Linked DNA regions of Caenorhabditis elegans. The protein of the gene in region 1 purifies or fractionates together with the protein of each later gene. This does not show direct contact. Each region holds a gene or a part of one and is shown in the gene's direction. Other genes may lie near its edges.

The links. The genes of interacting proteins can lie anywhere in the genome.
Region 2: the proteins of pph-4.1 (region 1) and mei-1 purify together in Caenorhabditis elegans (affinity purification with western blotting, with the first as the bait; one study listed by BioGRID). This does not show direct contact.

What each region holds. Positions count from the first base shown.
Region 1 is NC_003281.10:12,344,021-12,354,482, reverse strand, and holds pph-4.1 (Serine/threonine-protein phosphatase 4 catalytic subunit 1), read left to right. Parts: upstream 1-3,146; 5' UTR 3,147-3,152; coding exon 3,153-3,253; intron 3,254-3,308; coding exon 3,309-3,432; intron 3,433-3,490; coding exon 3,491-3,616; intron 3,617-3,691; coding exon 3,692-3,970; intron 3,971-5,861; coding exon 5,862-6,103; intron 6,104-8,788; coding exon 8,789-8,918; 3' UTR 8,919-9,160; downstream 9,161-10,462. Other genes in the region: FAM172 family protein homolog Y75B8A.31, read right to left, coding at 1-39, 686-814, 2,154-2,273, 2,327-2,590, 2,659-2,835; zip-1 (BZIP domain-containing protein), read right to left, coding at 9,488-9,775. UniProt on the Caenorhabditis elegans protein: Protein phosphatase which plays an essential role in meiosis and in early embryonic mitosis.
Region 2 is NC_003279.8:8,291,629-8,297,440, forward strand, and holds mei-1 (Meiotic spindle formation protein mei-1), read left to right. Parts: upstream 1-3,245; 5' UTR 3,246-3,253; coding exon 3,254-3,430; intron 3,431-3,480; coding exon 3,481-3,819; intron 3,820-3,865; coding exon 3,866-4,593; intron 4,594-4,912; coding exon 4,913-5,096; 3' UTR 5,097-5,312; downstream 5,313-5,812. Other genes in the region: npp-2 (Nuclear pore complex protein Nup85), read right to left, coding at 1-529, 597-730, 955-1,284, 1,337-1,872, 1,919-2,012; abts-1 (Anion exchange protein), read right to left, coding at 5,666-5,776. UniProt on the Caenorhabditis elegans protein: Catalytic subunit of a complex which severs microtubules in an ATP-dependent manner. Microtubule severing may promote rapid reorganization of cellular microtubule arrays.

The sequences.
Region 1 (10,462 bases):
ACGATATTCACGAACTTTGTATGATGGAGAGTTCAAAGCCTGGAAAATTAAATTTTATTATTATTAGAATTGTTACCGTATTTCCTCTATTAGTCTTGCAGCCTCTATTAGTCTTGCACCCCTATTAGTCTTGCACCCCTACGGACCAATCGAAAATTAGTCTTGCAGCCTCTATTAGTATTGCATGCAAGACTAATAGAGGAAATACGGTAATAGTCTTGCACCCCTATTCTTGCCAGACCAGCAGTATTTTGTCAAAACTTCAACAATTTTGCCAGTTTTTAGCTAAATTAAATTTTAAAGTGTTCAAATAATAGATAAAATAATATAAATATATATATATATTGTACGATTTTGACTGTTTCATGTCTAATTTTTGACGATGAATGGTAAATTTTACAAAGCTATTGGATCTTCGAAAATTAGTCTTGCAGCCTCTAATAGTCTTGCACCCCTACGGGTCAATTGAAAATTAGTCTTGCATGCAAGACTAATAGAGGAAATACGGTATATTATTGAAACGTGAAAACGCGCTCCACGGATAATAAGAAACGCTCCACCCACGAACCATGGGTCTCGTTAGGTTTTTGGTCGAAAAACCGGTCTGAATTCCCGATTTTTCCGCCAAATTCTTAACGAGACTTCAATTGCCCGTGGAGCGCGTTTTCTGCGTCCTTATAACTACCCCGTGAGCCAAGAAATTGACGACAAACAATGGACGTGCCCGTTGTGCACAACTTTTCGGAAATTCGAACCATGGAGAATCAGTGAGACAGATTTTCGAAATACGATCGTCTCCGCCAAACTTTTTGAGCTGAAATTTAATGAAATTATATGATTTTGGCGGGTCTCGACGCGACAAATTTTTGTTAAATAGAAAAATGTGTGCGCCTTTAAAGAGTACTGTAATTTAATTTTTCACACGATTTTTTTTCGAATAAAAATGCATTTTTAACTATTTTCCGCTGTTTTTAAATTTGAAAACAGATTTCAGGACTTTTTTCGGCAAAAAAAAAGCGAAAAAACGGGGTTTTTAAGGCAAAATTCCATGTTTTCCTCAATTTTGGGTCTCGAAGCGACAAATTTTTGTTGAATACAAAAAAGTGTGCGCCTTTAAAGAGTACTGTAGTTTTAAATTTTAGTTTCTGTGAAATTTATCGATTTTTCGTAGTTTTTCTAAATAAAAATATTTTTTAATCGAAAAAATTTAAAAAAAATCGCGAAAACTAAATTAAAAAAATTTTTTTCGATTTTTTTTCAAAAGATTAAAAAATATTTTTATTTAGAAAAACTACGAAAACTCGATAAATTTCACAGAAACAAAAATTAGAAATTACAGTAATCTTTAAAGGCGCATACCTTTTTTTCTTATTCCTTGAACACAATTTTGTCGTGGCGAGACCTGAAACAGGGGTTTTTGCCTTAAAAAATCGCGAAAATGTCGATTTTTCGCCAAAAAAAGCTGAAAATAGTTTAAAATCCCATTTTTATTCAAAAAATTCAGAAAAACAGGGATTTTCGCCTTAAAAATCCGGAAATATGTCGTTTTTTCGCTTTTTTTGCCAAAAAAAAAGCTGAAAATATATTAAAATTGCATTTTCCTTTAAAAAAATCAGAAAAACAGGGATTTTTGCCTTAAAAAATCGGAGAAAAGTCGTTTTTTCGCTCTTTTTTAGCCAAAAAAAAGCTGAAAACAGTTTAAATCCCATTTTTATTCAAAAATTCAAAAAAACAGGGTTTTTTTGCCTTAAAAAATCAAAAAAAAAGTCGATTTTTTCACTCTTTTTTGCCAAAAAAAAAGTGCTGAAAACAGTTTAAAATCGCATTTTTATCCAAAAACTCAGAAAAACAGGGTTTTATGGCTTAAAAATTCGGAAAAAGTCAATTTTTTCGTTCATTTTTAGCCAAAAAAAAGCTGAAAACAGTTTAAAATCGCATTTTTATTCAAAAATTCAGAAAAACAGGGATTTTCGCCTTAAAAATCCGGAAATATGTCGTTTTTTCGCTCTTTTTTGCCAAAAAAAAAGCTGAAAATAGATTAAAATTGCATTTTCCTTTAAAAAATTCAGAAAAACAGGGATTTTCGCCTTGAAAAATCGGAAAAACATCGATTTTTTCGCTTTTTTTTGCCAAAAAAGTGCTGAAAATCCCACCACACTGGCTGTGTCGTAACCACCACGACTGTGAGCCACCACGTAGATGCTCTTAGCATTCGATGGCTCAATACACGCTATCCAGACAGTTTCAGCGTGCTCGACAGGTGTGCGGGAGTACTGAAAATCGATTTTTCAGCGAATTTTTCGAAATTTCCCGGGTTTTTTCACACCTTCAAATCCTGATCTTTACTTTCATTCAAATTAGTGTTCATCACCACAACACCCCATCCATTTTCAATAGCTCTTTCGATATACGGAATCTGAGTTCCACACTCCAAATTATCATTGATAATGAGTCTACGAGCCCATTGTCCGGCTCTGACGACACCGCTTCCGTGGATCAATACTAGAAGATTTGCAGCTTTTTTGAAATTTTTCGACACAAAAATGAAGCTTAGATCCTCATCCTCGTCGGTTTTTCCTGGAAGTTTTAGCTGAAAAAAAATTTTTTTTTTTGATTTTTAAATTTTTTTTTCCATTTTTTAAAAATTTCTTAATTTACCGCCTTTCTCTTCAGCCCACAACGTGTCTCCAGAAGCTCATAAACTTCCAGATCAACTGCTTCTCCCAGTTCTTCATAATCCTCCTGTGTAGTGAATTTGAAGGGTTTTTTGTCCTTCTCCGTTTTCAGCACGCCTTTTTCGTCGAAAAAGTACCCGAGTTTCGCCAAACTTGACATTGTTCACTGAAATTTATTTGAATTATTCGCAAAAAAACTGGTTAGAACAGAGAAAATTTCCGAAAAAACAATTTTTAAAATTAAAAAAAAAAAAAAATTTCCTGGCCGCGACCGAGGTTTCTCTCGTCCACACGGCGCAATCGCGCTCTGTTGGCAATCTGGCACAATGCCAATATTACACTGAATTTATATTTTTGCACGAAAAACTCTGGATTTAAAGTCGATTTCGCCTGTTTTCATTGGTTTTTTTCGTTTTTTCGTTTTTAAATTAAATATTAATTCAAAAAATCGATTTACAACGTATTTTACAGCTTTTAATGGCTCTGGCGTGCACCGACTCTGCAAATTCCACATTTTCACGTGTCGACTCACCGACTTCCGGCCCATCGGACCAGCTAACAACTCATGACTTGGATCGGTAGCAGTTTTGATATAAAAACAATAAAATATCAACAAAAAAAAAATATTTTCAGCCACATAGAAAAGCTGATGAGATGTGAGCTCATCGCGGAGCAAGATGTCAAAACACTTTGCGCAAAAGCTCGTGAAATCCTAGCGGAAGAGGGCAACGTCCAGGTTATCGATTCTCCGGTGACGGTTGGTTGGATAAAATCGATTTTTAAATCAAAATTTCCATTTTAAATTCTATTTCCAGATCTGCGGAGACATCCACGGCCAGTTCTACGATTTAATGGAGCTCTTCAAAGTCGGCGGACCAGTGCCGAACACCAACTATTTGTTCCTCGGAGATTTCGTGGATCGAGGCTTCTATTCTGTGGAGGTGCCCCCGCTTTTTTGCAATTTTCCTGGCGAAAAAATTGCAAAAAAAACTCCCAAAAAATCGATATTTTTCCAGACATTCCTTCTACTTCTCGCACTGAAAGCTCGCTATCCGGATCGAATGATGTTGATCCGTGGAAATCACGAAAGTCGCCAGATTACTCAAGTCTACGGGTTCTATGATGAATGCCTTCGGAAATATGGAAATGCGTCTGTTTGGAAACATTGTACCGAAGTTTTCGACTACTTATCACTTGCCGCTGTAATTGATGGGAAGGTTTTCTGTGTTCATGGTGGATTATCCCCGTCGATTAGTACTATGGATCAGATTCGTGTTATTGATCGGAAGCAGGAGGTAAAACGCAAAAAATATGCTGTTTTTAATGGAATTTTGCTTTGAATTTCGGTTAAAATTCGGTGAATTACAATTTTTTAAATTTCCGGCATTTTGCCGAATTTGCCGGAAAGTTTTAAAATTTTCGAAAATGAAAATAACCGACAAATCTGCAAATTGCCGGAATTTAAAAATTTCCGGCAAATCAGCAAACCGGCAAATTTGCCCAAAATGAAAATAACCGGCAAATCGACAAATTGCCGGAATTAAAAATTTCTGGCAAATCGACAAACTGCCGTAATGAAACTTTCTGGCAAATCGACAAATTGCCGAAAATGAAAATAACCGGCAAATCGACAAATTGCCGGAATTAAAATTTTCTGGCAAATCGGCAAATGTTCGAATTAAAAAATTTGTGGCAAATTGGCGAAATTGAAAATTTCCGGCAAATCGAAAAATTGCCGGAATTAAAAAATTCCGGCAAATCGGCAAATTGCCGTAATTAAAAATTTCTGGCAAATCGGAAAATTGCCATGTTTAAAAATTTTCGGCAAATCGGAAAATTGCCGAAATTGAAAATTTCCGGCAATTCGTCAAATTGCCGGAATTTAAAAATTTCCGGCAAGTCGGAAATTTGCCGAATTCGCCGGAAAAACGGCAAATTGCCGGAATTAAAAATTTCCGGCAAATCGGCAAATTGCTGGAATTGATAATTTCCGGCAAATCGGCAAATTGCTGGAATTGATAATTTCCGGCAAATCGGCAAATTGCCGGAATTTAAAAATTTCCGGCAAGTCGGAAATTTGCCGAATTCGCCGGAAAAACGGCAAATTGCCGGAATTAAAAATTTCCGGCAAATCGACAAACTGCCGAAAATGAAAATTTCTGGCAAATCGGCAAATTGCTGGAATTGATAATTTCCGGCAAATTTCCGGAATTAAGATTTTCTGGCAAATCGGCAATTTGTCGATCATGAAAATAACCGTCAAATCGACAAATTTCCGGAATTAAAATTTTCTGGCAAATCGGCAAATTGCCGAAAATGAAAATAACCAGAAAATCGGCAAATTTCCGAAAATTTCCGTTTAAAAAAAAATTTCCGTTTTTTTCATTAAAAATTTTTTTTTTTAATTTTCAGACTTTTTTCTAATTTTTTCTCATCAAAATCGACCAATTTAATTTTTATTTCATTTATTTCGATTTTTTCCCCGAAAAATACTAAAAAATTCAAAAAATAGTCTCAAAATCAGAAAAAAACCACAAAAACGCGATTTTTGTCTTCAACCAATCAGCGATTCGCTCCGCCCACTTTTCAACCAATCAGATGGAGTGGGCGGAGTTTGAGTTCTCATTTTGGAGGGAATTCAAAATTGAAAAATCTTTTTATTTTTCTGAATTTGATACTATTTCGGATATTTTGAAGCGAAATTTCAAAATTTACGTTAAATTTTTCGAGAAATCACTTTTTTCCAGCGGGGCGAAGGTTTTGCAAGTCTGCGGTTTGCTATATTTCGATTTACGGAGAATTTTGTAATACACACGGACAAGCGTCGATTAATTTTTTAATTTTTTCTAATAGTAAATTTACAGTTTTGGGCCATTTTTGCCAATTTTTTTTGGTGTTCAACATTAAAAATTGGGTCCATATATATATATTTTTTGAATAGTGTTTACAAAAAAAATTACAGAACTGAAGAACAATTCGAAAAAAAAAAAAAAACGCTTATCCACGTGTAGCACAAACTCCACCGTAAATCGACAGAAATCAAACCGCGCCGCAGGTTTGCAAAACCACCGTTCCGCCTCAAAAATTGAAAAAAAAATCAATTTTTTAATCAAATTTTGTTCGTTTTGATAGAAAAACGTATAAATTTGTGCTAAAAAAGCGAAAAAAAATTCTGAAAATTTCCAGGTTCCCCACGACGGTCCAATGTGTGATCTACTGTGGTCGGACCCCGAAGAAGGAAATGTTGGATGGGGCCTAAGTCCACGCGGAGCCGGTTATCTATTCGGAGCGGACGCGTCGAAAACGTTTTGCGAAACGAACGGAGTCGATTTGATCTGTAGAGCTCATCAATTGGTTATGGAAGGATATAAATGGCATTTCAACGAGAAAGTGCTCACTGTTTGGTCGGCGCCCAACTATTGTTATCGGTACGGGATGGATTTGGAAAAAAAACGGAAATTTTTTTTTCGTGAAAAAGACGAAAAATTAAAATTTTTGGTCACTTTTTTATCATTTAAAGTATAATTTTTAGGAAAAAATACAATTTTTTTCTGAAAATTTGAATTTTCCCGCTAAAATTTGTTTCCAAAAAATTTAAATTTTCCCGCCAAAATTTGATTCCAAAAAAATTCAAATTTTCCGGCCAAAATTTGTTTCCAAAAAATTTGAATTTTCCCGCCAAAATTTGTTTCCAAAAAATTTGAATTTTCCCGCCAAAATTTGTTTCCAAAAAATTTGAATTTTCCGGCCAAAATTTGTTTCCAAAAAATTTGAATTTTCCCGTCAAAATATGTTTTTAAAAGAAAATTTAAATTTTCCCGCCAAAATTTGTTTCCAGAAAATTTGAATTTTCCCGCCAAAATTTGTTTCCAAAAAATTTAAATTTTCCCGCCAAAATTTGTTTCCAAAAAATTTGAATTTTCCCGCCAAAATTTGTTTCCAAAAAATTTGAATTTTCCGGCCAAAATTTGTTTCCAAAAAATTTGAATTTTCCCGTCAAAATATGTTTTTAAAAGAAAATTTAAATTTTCCCGCCAAAATTTGTTTCCAGAAAATTTGAATTTTCCCGCCAAAATTTGTTTCCAGAAAATTTAAATTTTCCCGCCAAAATTTGTTTCCAGAAAATTTGAATTTTCCCGCCAAAATTTGATTCCAGAAAATTTGAATTTTCCCGCCAAAATTTGTTTCCAAAAAATTTGAATTTTCCCGCCAAAATTTGTTTCCAAAAAATTTGAATTTTCCCGCCAAAATTTGTTTCCAAAAAATTTGAATTTTCCCGCCAAAATTTGTTTCCAAAAAATTTGAATTTTCCCGCCAAAATTTGTTTCCAAAAAAATTTACACTTCCCGCCAAAATTTGTTTCCAAAAAATTTGAATTTTCCCGTCAAAATATGTTTTTAAAAGAAAATTTAAATTTTCCCGCCAAAATTTGTTTCCAGAAAATTTGAATTTTCCCGCCAAAATTTGTTTCCAAAAAATTTGAATTTTCCCGCCAAAATTTGTTTCCAAAAAATTTGAATTTTCCCGTCAAAATATGTTTTTAAAAGAAAATTTAAATTTTCCCGCCAAAATTTGTTTCCAAAAAATTCAAATTTTCCCGCCAAAATTTGTTTCCAAAAAATTTGAATTTTCCGGCCAAAATTTGTTTCCAAAAAATTTGAATTTTCCCGTCAAAATATGTTTTTAAAAGAAAATTTAAATTTTCCCGCCAAAATTTGTTTCCAGAAAATTTGAATTTTCCCGCCAAAATTTGTTTCCAAAAAATTTGAATTTTCCCGTCAAAATATGTTTTTAAAAGAAAATTTAAATTTTCCCGCCAAAATTTGTTTCCAAAAAATTTAAATTTTCCCGCCAAAATTTGTTTCCAGAAAATTTGAATTTTCCCGCCAAAATTTGTTTCCAAAAAATTTGAATTTTCCCGCCAAAATTTGTTTCCAAAAAATTTGAATTTTCCCGTCAAAATATGTTTTTAAAAGAAAATTTAAATTTTCCCGCCAAAATTTGTTTCCAGAAAATTTGAATTTTCCCGCCAAAATTTGATTCCAGAAAATTTGAATTTTCCCGCCAAAATTTGTTTCCAGAAAATTTGAATTTTCCCGCCAAAATTTGTTTCCAAAAAATTTGAATTTTCCCGCCAAAATTTGTTTCCAAAAAATTTGAATTTTCCCGTCAAAATATGTTTTTAAAAGAAAATTTAAATTTTCCCGCCAAAATTTGTTTCCAAAAAATTCAAATTTTCCGGCCAAAATTTGTTTCCAAAAAATTTGAATTTTCCCGCCAAAATTTGTTTCCAAAAAATTTGAATTTTCCGGCCAAAATTTGTTTCCAAAAAATTTGAATTTTCCCGTCAAAATATGTTTTTAAAAGAAAATTTAAATTTTCCCGCCAAAATTTGTTTCCAGAAAATTTGAATTTTCCCGCCAAAATTTGATTCCAGAAAATTTGAATTTTCCCGCCAAAATTTGTTTCCAAAAAATTTGAATTTTCCCGCCAAAATTTGTTTCCAAAAAATTTGAATTTTCCCGCCAAAATTTGTTTCCAAAAAATTTGAATTTTCCCGCCAAAATTTGTTTCCAAAAAAATTTAAACTTCCCGCCAAAATTTGTTTCCAAAAAATTTGAATTTTCCCGTCAAAATATGTTTTTAAAAGAAAATTTAAATTTTCCCGCCAAAATTTGTTTCCAGAAAATTTGAATTTTCCCGCCAAAATTTGATTCCAGAAAATTTGAATTTTCCCGCCAAAATTTGTTTCCAAAAAATTTGAATTTTCCCGCCAAACTTTGTTCCCAAAAAATTTGAATTTTCCCGCCAAAATTTGTTTCCAAAAAATTTAAATTTTCCCGCCAAAATTTGTTTCCAGAAAATTTAAAATTTTCCCGCCAAAATCACGTAGTGCCAGAGTGTCCCATTTCGGTTTGATCTACAAAAATGCGGGAGAAGTGACGCACTGATTTTGCATGATTAAGAACGTGTTGACGTCACATTTTTTGGACAAAAAAATCCCGCATTTTTTGTAGATCAAACCCAAAAATTTGTTTCAAAAGAAAAATTGAATTTCCCGGAAAACTTGAGCTTTTTTTGCAGTAAAAAAAAACTTAATGAAAATTTTCCAGATGCGGCAACGTGGCGGCAATTCTCGAGCTCGACGAGAATCTCAACAAGGAATTCACAATTTTCGAAGCTGCTCCACAAGAAAATCGCGGAGCACCGGCCAAAAAACCGCACGCCGACTATTTCCTCTAATTTTTTCTCGAAATTTTCTCGAAATTTCTTTCTCGCCCAAAAATTCCGAAGAATCTCCCCCTTTTATATCGCCGAAACACCATTTTTTTCCTTTTTTTTTTGCTCCCACAAAAATATTTCAATATTTAATTATTATTTTCCACACACACACACACATTTTTCTGTAAATGTCCACCCCCCTCCAAATTTTACGGATTTATTTTTTTTTCGACAAAAAAAAGTATTAAAATTTATTTCATGCTATTCATTTTTAAAACCGATTTGATTTGAAACAAAAAAAAACAATTAACCGTATTTGGGGAGTGAGAAATGGGAAAAAAATAAAACATGAAAATGGAATTTTTCACAGAAAAAATCGAAGTAAAATACAATTGATTGGATAAAATGGGAAAGCTGCGACCAATCAGGTGGAGTGGGCGGAGTGGGCGGAGTTCAAAGTCGCTGATTGGTCGGTGAGAAATTGAGAAAAAAATGGATTTTTGAAGCTTTAAATATAACATTTTGGATAAAAATAACTAGTTTTCAAAGATTTTTTAATTTTTTAATATTTTTTTCGCTCAAAAAATCCTTCAGCTTGGCTCAAATTGCTGGAAATTCTCATCAAAAGCCTGCTGCTCGGCAAGCTTGGCACCATCCATGTATCGGTTCAGTTCTCTTGTGATTTGATTGAGTACCACTTTAATCGCATTCGCCTCCCTCAGCTCAACCTCCTCCTTTTTGAGATTCAACTGATGGTCGGCGATCTCGAAAGCCGTCTTCGCACGGGATTTTTTCGAAGCAAACGTATTTTGAGGTAGTCCTGCGATTTTTTTGACACTCGTGTATTGTCCGTAGTCCTGTTCGGTTTTGTTGAAGGCCTGAAAATGTTGAGAATTGGGGAAAAAATTTGATTTTTCACAAAAAAAAAATTTTTTTAAAGTTTTTTTGCCAGTTTTTCTTATGTTTTTTATCACGGATTTCTGGTTTCCCTCCATAAATTGAAATGGAAGAGTTTTTGCCGAATTAGGCCAGGCCATATCTGGGGTAGATTTACGGCGCGCGTTGCGTGTCGCGTCGCGGCTCGATTGTAAAACTAAATGTATTTGTCCGTGTGGAGTACACGTTGTCCGGCGGGGGTGATTGTCAATGGAGCGCGAAAAAATCAATGAGGAAGGCCAGAAGCCCGTGAAAAAGAAAAAATTTAAAAAAAAACTATATTTGATAGTGTTTTTGGATTTTTTGTTTAGTTTAAATTTTTACTTTTTTTTTGTTGCTATTTTGCCAGTTTTTCTTATGTTTTTTATTATCAAAAATCGATAAAAATTGGATTGTTTTGTTTTTTTTACATTTTTTTCGATTTTTCAAAAAAAAAAAGCCTTAAAATTTTGGCAATTTTTCATATTTTTAGAAAAAAAAACTGATTTTTTTGTAAATTTTCAAACCATTGTTTTCCGATTTCATCTATCCCCACACGGGCCCTTTCTGGCCTTCCTCATTGGATTTTTTTTCGCGCTCCATTGATAATCGCCTGCCGGACTCCACACGGACAAATACATTTAGTTTTA
Region 2 (5,812 bases), on another chromosome or scaffold:
AGCACGCCCATCCTCTTTGATAATCGTGATTAAATAATCGAAGAGATCATAGTAATACTGAGTTGGAACATCAGGCATCATAATAAGCGGTATCAGATGTTGAACACAGTCCAGTACATCACCACAGTGCATCATCTTCACAAATCGTTGATAAGAGTAGAGGAAGGTAAGAGATGGAAGTGAGAGTACAGAATGATTGGTTATTGAAGATAAAACTCTTAATGCAGCCAATTCATCCTTCGAACTTGAACCAACAATTCGAGATACTGTCCAGTCAATTGTCTTTTTGGATCCAGTTTTCAACGCCCAAGCGAGTGTTGAACTCCAATGTCCTTGCTTCAGATACCGGAAAGTCATTGTATTTGTCACACAACTTTTCGCGTCTTCCAGTCGATGCTCTTCACATATTTCCAGCAACTGCTCAGCCATCTCATCATCCTCAATGTGAAGCCCTTCGATGTGTGTTTCGAGACGTAGAAGTCCTTCGGTACCACACGCAATAAGATATCCGGCTCCGATTTCCCACAGACTATAAAAAATTTGTGAAGTTATATTTTAAAATGTTTTTTCAGTAATTAGAAATTTCAAAAACTAACGGAGAATGAGAGATAAGAACACTGGCGTAGTCCAACATGTGCATTTTCCTCATCACTTCAAACTCGGGATCCAATGTGGATTTGTGAATAAGATCAACCAGGTGAACTGCGAGCCAGGGATTCGAGGCAATCAACTGAAATTTTATTCAGTAAAATTAATTAATTCTTATTTAAAACAATCTAGAATTTATTTTGAAGAAAATTGTTAAATATTCTTGAACATTATTTTGATTTTTTTTTATTGGGATAAAATTGAATGAAATGTTCTGTCGCCGTTTAATTAATCGTGAAAGAAATAGTGAGCCTATTTTCAAGAGATATTTATATTTAATTTAATTTCTTGAATAAAAACAAGAACCTGTTGAAAGTTAATATCATCCTTCGAAATAAGACACCAGAATACATCATTTTCCTTTGCACCCTCCTCTTCCTCTTCTCCAACGAATAGTGTTCTACACTCATCAGCTAGCTCAATGAGCTCGACATGTCCGGCGAATGGATTCTTGACAAGCACAAAGAATGGCAGAAAATGCCACCACGTGTCGAAAATCCGTGAAGCCATAGATACGAGGTATCGTTCCTCACCGAGTAGGAGCTTCGTAAGATATTTGAAATTTTCGTTGCTCCCGTACTTCCCACTTGTCAAATTTTCACGCATGATATCCTTCCATTCATTTACTGTGTTAGCCTGAAATAAGAATATTACGAAGTTTAAGAATTATTATATAAATGGGTCTTACTAATGCTTCGTCGACTAAGTTTTCGGGATTGAAGAATGTGAGAGCCTCAATGAATGCATCACATTCTGATCCGCCTCCATGTAGCTCCAACAGTTCAACACAATCGCTGAAATTGCAACTAAGCAAGCTGACTGCTACTCCCTTCCAATATTCTTCTGGAATCGTCTTCCCCGGATGCAGATATTCCACAGCTGATTCCATGGCTCCTCTAGAAAACGTGAAGCTCTGATTGGCCCATGAAATAAGATCCGCACATATCGAGCTATCACCTCTTCCAAACCATAATTTCTCGTAAAGTGACCACAAAGCAAAGTCTGTCATGAAGTCGGAACTGCTGTGAGACACGGCGGCATTGTAGAGAACTGAACGATAAGCTCGAGAGAATGTGCAGCAAGTAGGCGTGTCTAGAGGTGCATCAGGTGAGGAGCCTTTTTGACATTTATCAAATACAGAATACATTTCGATAACAAGTCGTCTGAGATTTGGTGTCGCAAGAATTTGTCGATTTTGTGAAACTTTCTCGACCAAGACTGTTTCTGAAAAATCTCTTATGTTGGAAACTGAAGAAGATGCAATTTTTACCTTTATTTGAAAATCCTTTTTTATCTGTTAGGAAGGCGAAGACCGTGGAGGAGTCGCTGACAGCTATCCCGAATTCTCGAGCGACATCCGTCATCTGAAAGAGATACTAATGTCATGTGAAGTGGTATTAAAAATATAGTAAGCACGGTAGAAACATTAACTTATAAAATTGAGATTTCTGATAAATAAAATTTTTCCGGGAGTTCTGTAAAACTTCTTACGGTTTTAACTTGATAATTCCATAGGGTTTAAAATTTCCTTTTGTTTCTTGAGTTTCTTCTCGGAATTTGAACAAAAATAACGCGTTTAATCTCGAATCAGTACAATGATGGACTACACGGCAGTTTTAAAAAACCAATTAATAATAATAATCCTAAAAAATGAGAAGAATATTTAAGAAAATGTAAAAGTTTTCCGCGGAATTCCGCTAAAATTCGAAAATTGAAAGTGTTCAAATTGCAAGCGATTGTGCATTCAGACGTGACAGTGTCTGGGGTGTATTGCGTACTCGACATTTTAACTGACGACACTTGTACTTTTGCGCCATACTTCCGGAGCTCCAGCTCCGCGGAGCCCTGAGCAATTATTTTTTTACTTTTTATGAAAAGCTTTCTATAGATATCTTTTAAGAAGTTACACTATAATTGTGCAAATCAAACTGGCTCCGGACAACACAAATTTCGTCTATACCTTTATGATCTTTTTTTGTTAAACAAGTGAAACAATTATTTCCTTTTCAAACTGCTCTTGTTTCTTCTCTTTATTAATCAATTTTTTTTTTTTTGCTTTGTGTAAATTAATTGTTTGTCGCGGATGAGCTAATTCTGAGGTTTGACCAGCAGAAATCTGTTTTCTGAAAAATCAATAACTCGCCGCTTAATTTTGGTTTTATTCAAGTGATATGCAATTAGAAGGTTCTAATCATTTATATCTCGCTGAAAGATCTCAGATTTCAAGCCTTTTGCTAAGGATTTAATTCCTAAAACTTTTTTTGACCTATCATTTTTTGTGTGATCTACCGCTGTAAATACTTGTTGTTTTGCGGCTAAACTCTTTCAATGTTTCCAACAAGTGAGCCAATATCAAGTAAAAAAAGAAAAATCGTTTTCTATTCAACCATTTTATTCTGTAAATAATATTAAATTCATCTTCACGGTACAATCTTCTTCTCCCATCTAATAAAGTCCACGCACACTCCGTTCCGTCGTTTCCCTATTCGTTATCATTCATCATCTTGCCATTTTCTTCTCCGCCAAATCCCATTGTCTTATACTAAATTTCATCCTCTCGTCTGTAGAAGTGTATATTATTGAAAAATTAAAGTATATTTTCAGGATGAATGGGGATGTGCAGTCAGTCATTCGCGGATATCTGGAGCGAGCCCAAGTCGCGAAAACAATGTCCGATGCCGGACGATGGAATGAGGCTGGTGATCTTCTTCGTCAGCTCATGACAGATGTCAAAAGCTGTAAAATTTCGGCAAGCAACAGAGACGAGCATGACGCAAGAAATGTACGTAATATAAATCTTTTAAAAGCTTGTTGAATTATTTGAAATTTCAGACATTCCTACGAGCCCTAGAGGCTAATTTGAAGCTTGTCCAACAAAATGTGCGCGATGAAGATGACCTACACGAGGCGATGACGCGACAAAGTGGAAGTCCAGAGCCACCTGCAGACCCAGATGTTTGGTCCAAACCATCGCCACCGTTACCATCCTCATCGAAATTTGGAGCAACAAAGAAAGGAGTTGGAGCAGCAGGTCCACGTCCCAGAGAAATATCAAAGTCAACGTCGTCGATGAGCACGAATCCGGCTGATGTGAAGCCTGCGAATCCAACACAAGGAATACTGCCTCAAAATAGTGCTGGAGATTCATTCGATGCATCGGCTTATGATGCGGTAAGTTATTATGTTTTCCAGAAACAAAAATCAGAAATCTTTTCAGTACATTGTTCAAGCGGTGCGTGGTACAATGGCTACAAATACGGAAAATACAATGTCTTTAGATGATATAATCGGAATGCACGACGTGAAGCAAGTTCTGCACGAAGCCGTCACTCTTCCACTCTTGGTGCCAGAATTCTTCCAGGGTCTCCGTTCACCATGGAAAGCAATGGTTCTCGCTGGACCACCTGGAACTGGAAAGACTCTTATCGCACGTGCGATTGCTTCAGAGTCTAGTTCAACTTTTTTTACCGTTTCCTCGACTGATCTGTCCAGCAAGTGGCGTGGTGATTCCGAGAAGATTGTTCGTCTGTTATTCGAACTTGCACGGTTCTATGCTCCATCCATAATCTTCATCGATGAGATTGACACACTTGGTGGACAACGTGGAAATTCTGGAGAACACGAAGCGAGTCGGCGTGTTAAATCCGAGTTTCTGGTACAAATGGACGGGTCACAGAATAAATTCGATTCGCGACGTGTATTCGTGCTGGCCGCCACAAATATTCCATGGGAGCTCGATGAGGCACTCCGAAGACGTTTCGAAAAGCGAATCTTCATTCCACTGCCAGATATAGATGCAAGAAAGAAGCTTATCGAAAAATCAATGGAAGGAACTCCGAAATCCGATGAAATTAACTATGATGACTTGGCGGCAAGGACTGAAGGATTCTCAGGAGCTGATGTTGTGTCTCTATGCAGAACTGCTGCTATCAATGTGTTGAGAAGGTAGGTAGCAGGAATGTGCAGAAAATCTTTTTGGAAAACGTGCTTGTTTCAATAAGATAATCCAATATTTCGAATCAAAAACTGGTATAGAAATGGCAACTTTCATGCACTATTTAATGTTTTTAAACGCTTGTAGACAAAATTAAATAACATTTTAAGATGAAATGAACCGTTTTTATAAATTTCGATATCAATTTAAGATTGAAAAGTTGGATTATCATAATTAAAAAAAAGCCAATTTTGTACGTTTGCTGAAAAAATTTTGCTAATCGCGATGTTGCAACACTTTTTTCAAGAATCGACACTAAGAATCCTTAAGATATTTCAGATACGACACCAAATCATTGCGAGGCGGGGAACTGACAGCTGCAATGGAATCACTGAAAGCCGAACTCGTGAGGAACATTGACTTTGAAGCAGCTCTTCAAGCAGTTTCACCAAGTGCTGGTCCAGATACAATGCTCAAATGCAAAGAATGGTGTGACTCTTTTGGTGCCATGTAAATCAACTATTTATTGTGATCTCCTTTTAGTTTAAAATATTGTGGCCTAGCTTTGGTTTTTGAAACTCTGAAACATTGTACAGATAAAATTTTCAAGGCCACCTTCATCCAAACATCTCTCCCCGATTCACTCTTTCCTGTAAAATACTTATTGGTTAAATTTGTATGTAAAATGAATCATTTTGCCACTCACTGGATTATTTGGAAATATATAAAAGTTCATTTGTGAAAGAAATATAAGAAAAGAAGACAGTGAAAAAAAACGATACAGGAAAGAAAATAAACATCGATTAGAAAAGAAACTGAATAAAAAACCGCCCTTATGAAGGGTAACTATTAGTGGATAAGTGTTTAGGAAATTTCATGTGTGAATTTTAATTGTCTAAAAGGTTAACATTTTGGAAGAAGAAAGATCAAAAAAAAAAGAAAGCAAATTTTGTGGAACACGATTCTCTTACGGGGGATAACAAACGGAATTATGACGGTGGACTGTAAGGAAAAATTGAGAAAGATCTGTGATGGGCTGGACCACGATAAGAGGAAGTGGGGAAGGCTTTCAAATTAGAAAAATTAGACTTTTGGTTCATCTGGATTAGTTTTTGGTGGTTCCTCATCCTTCAAAAGTGGAGTATTTTCAGTTGTTAAATTCGATGTCGAAGTGTGTGGAGACGGACGAATTACCTGAAAAACAGATCGTTCAGATATTTTACTAAGTTT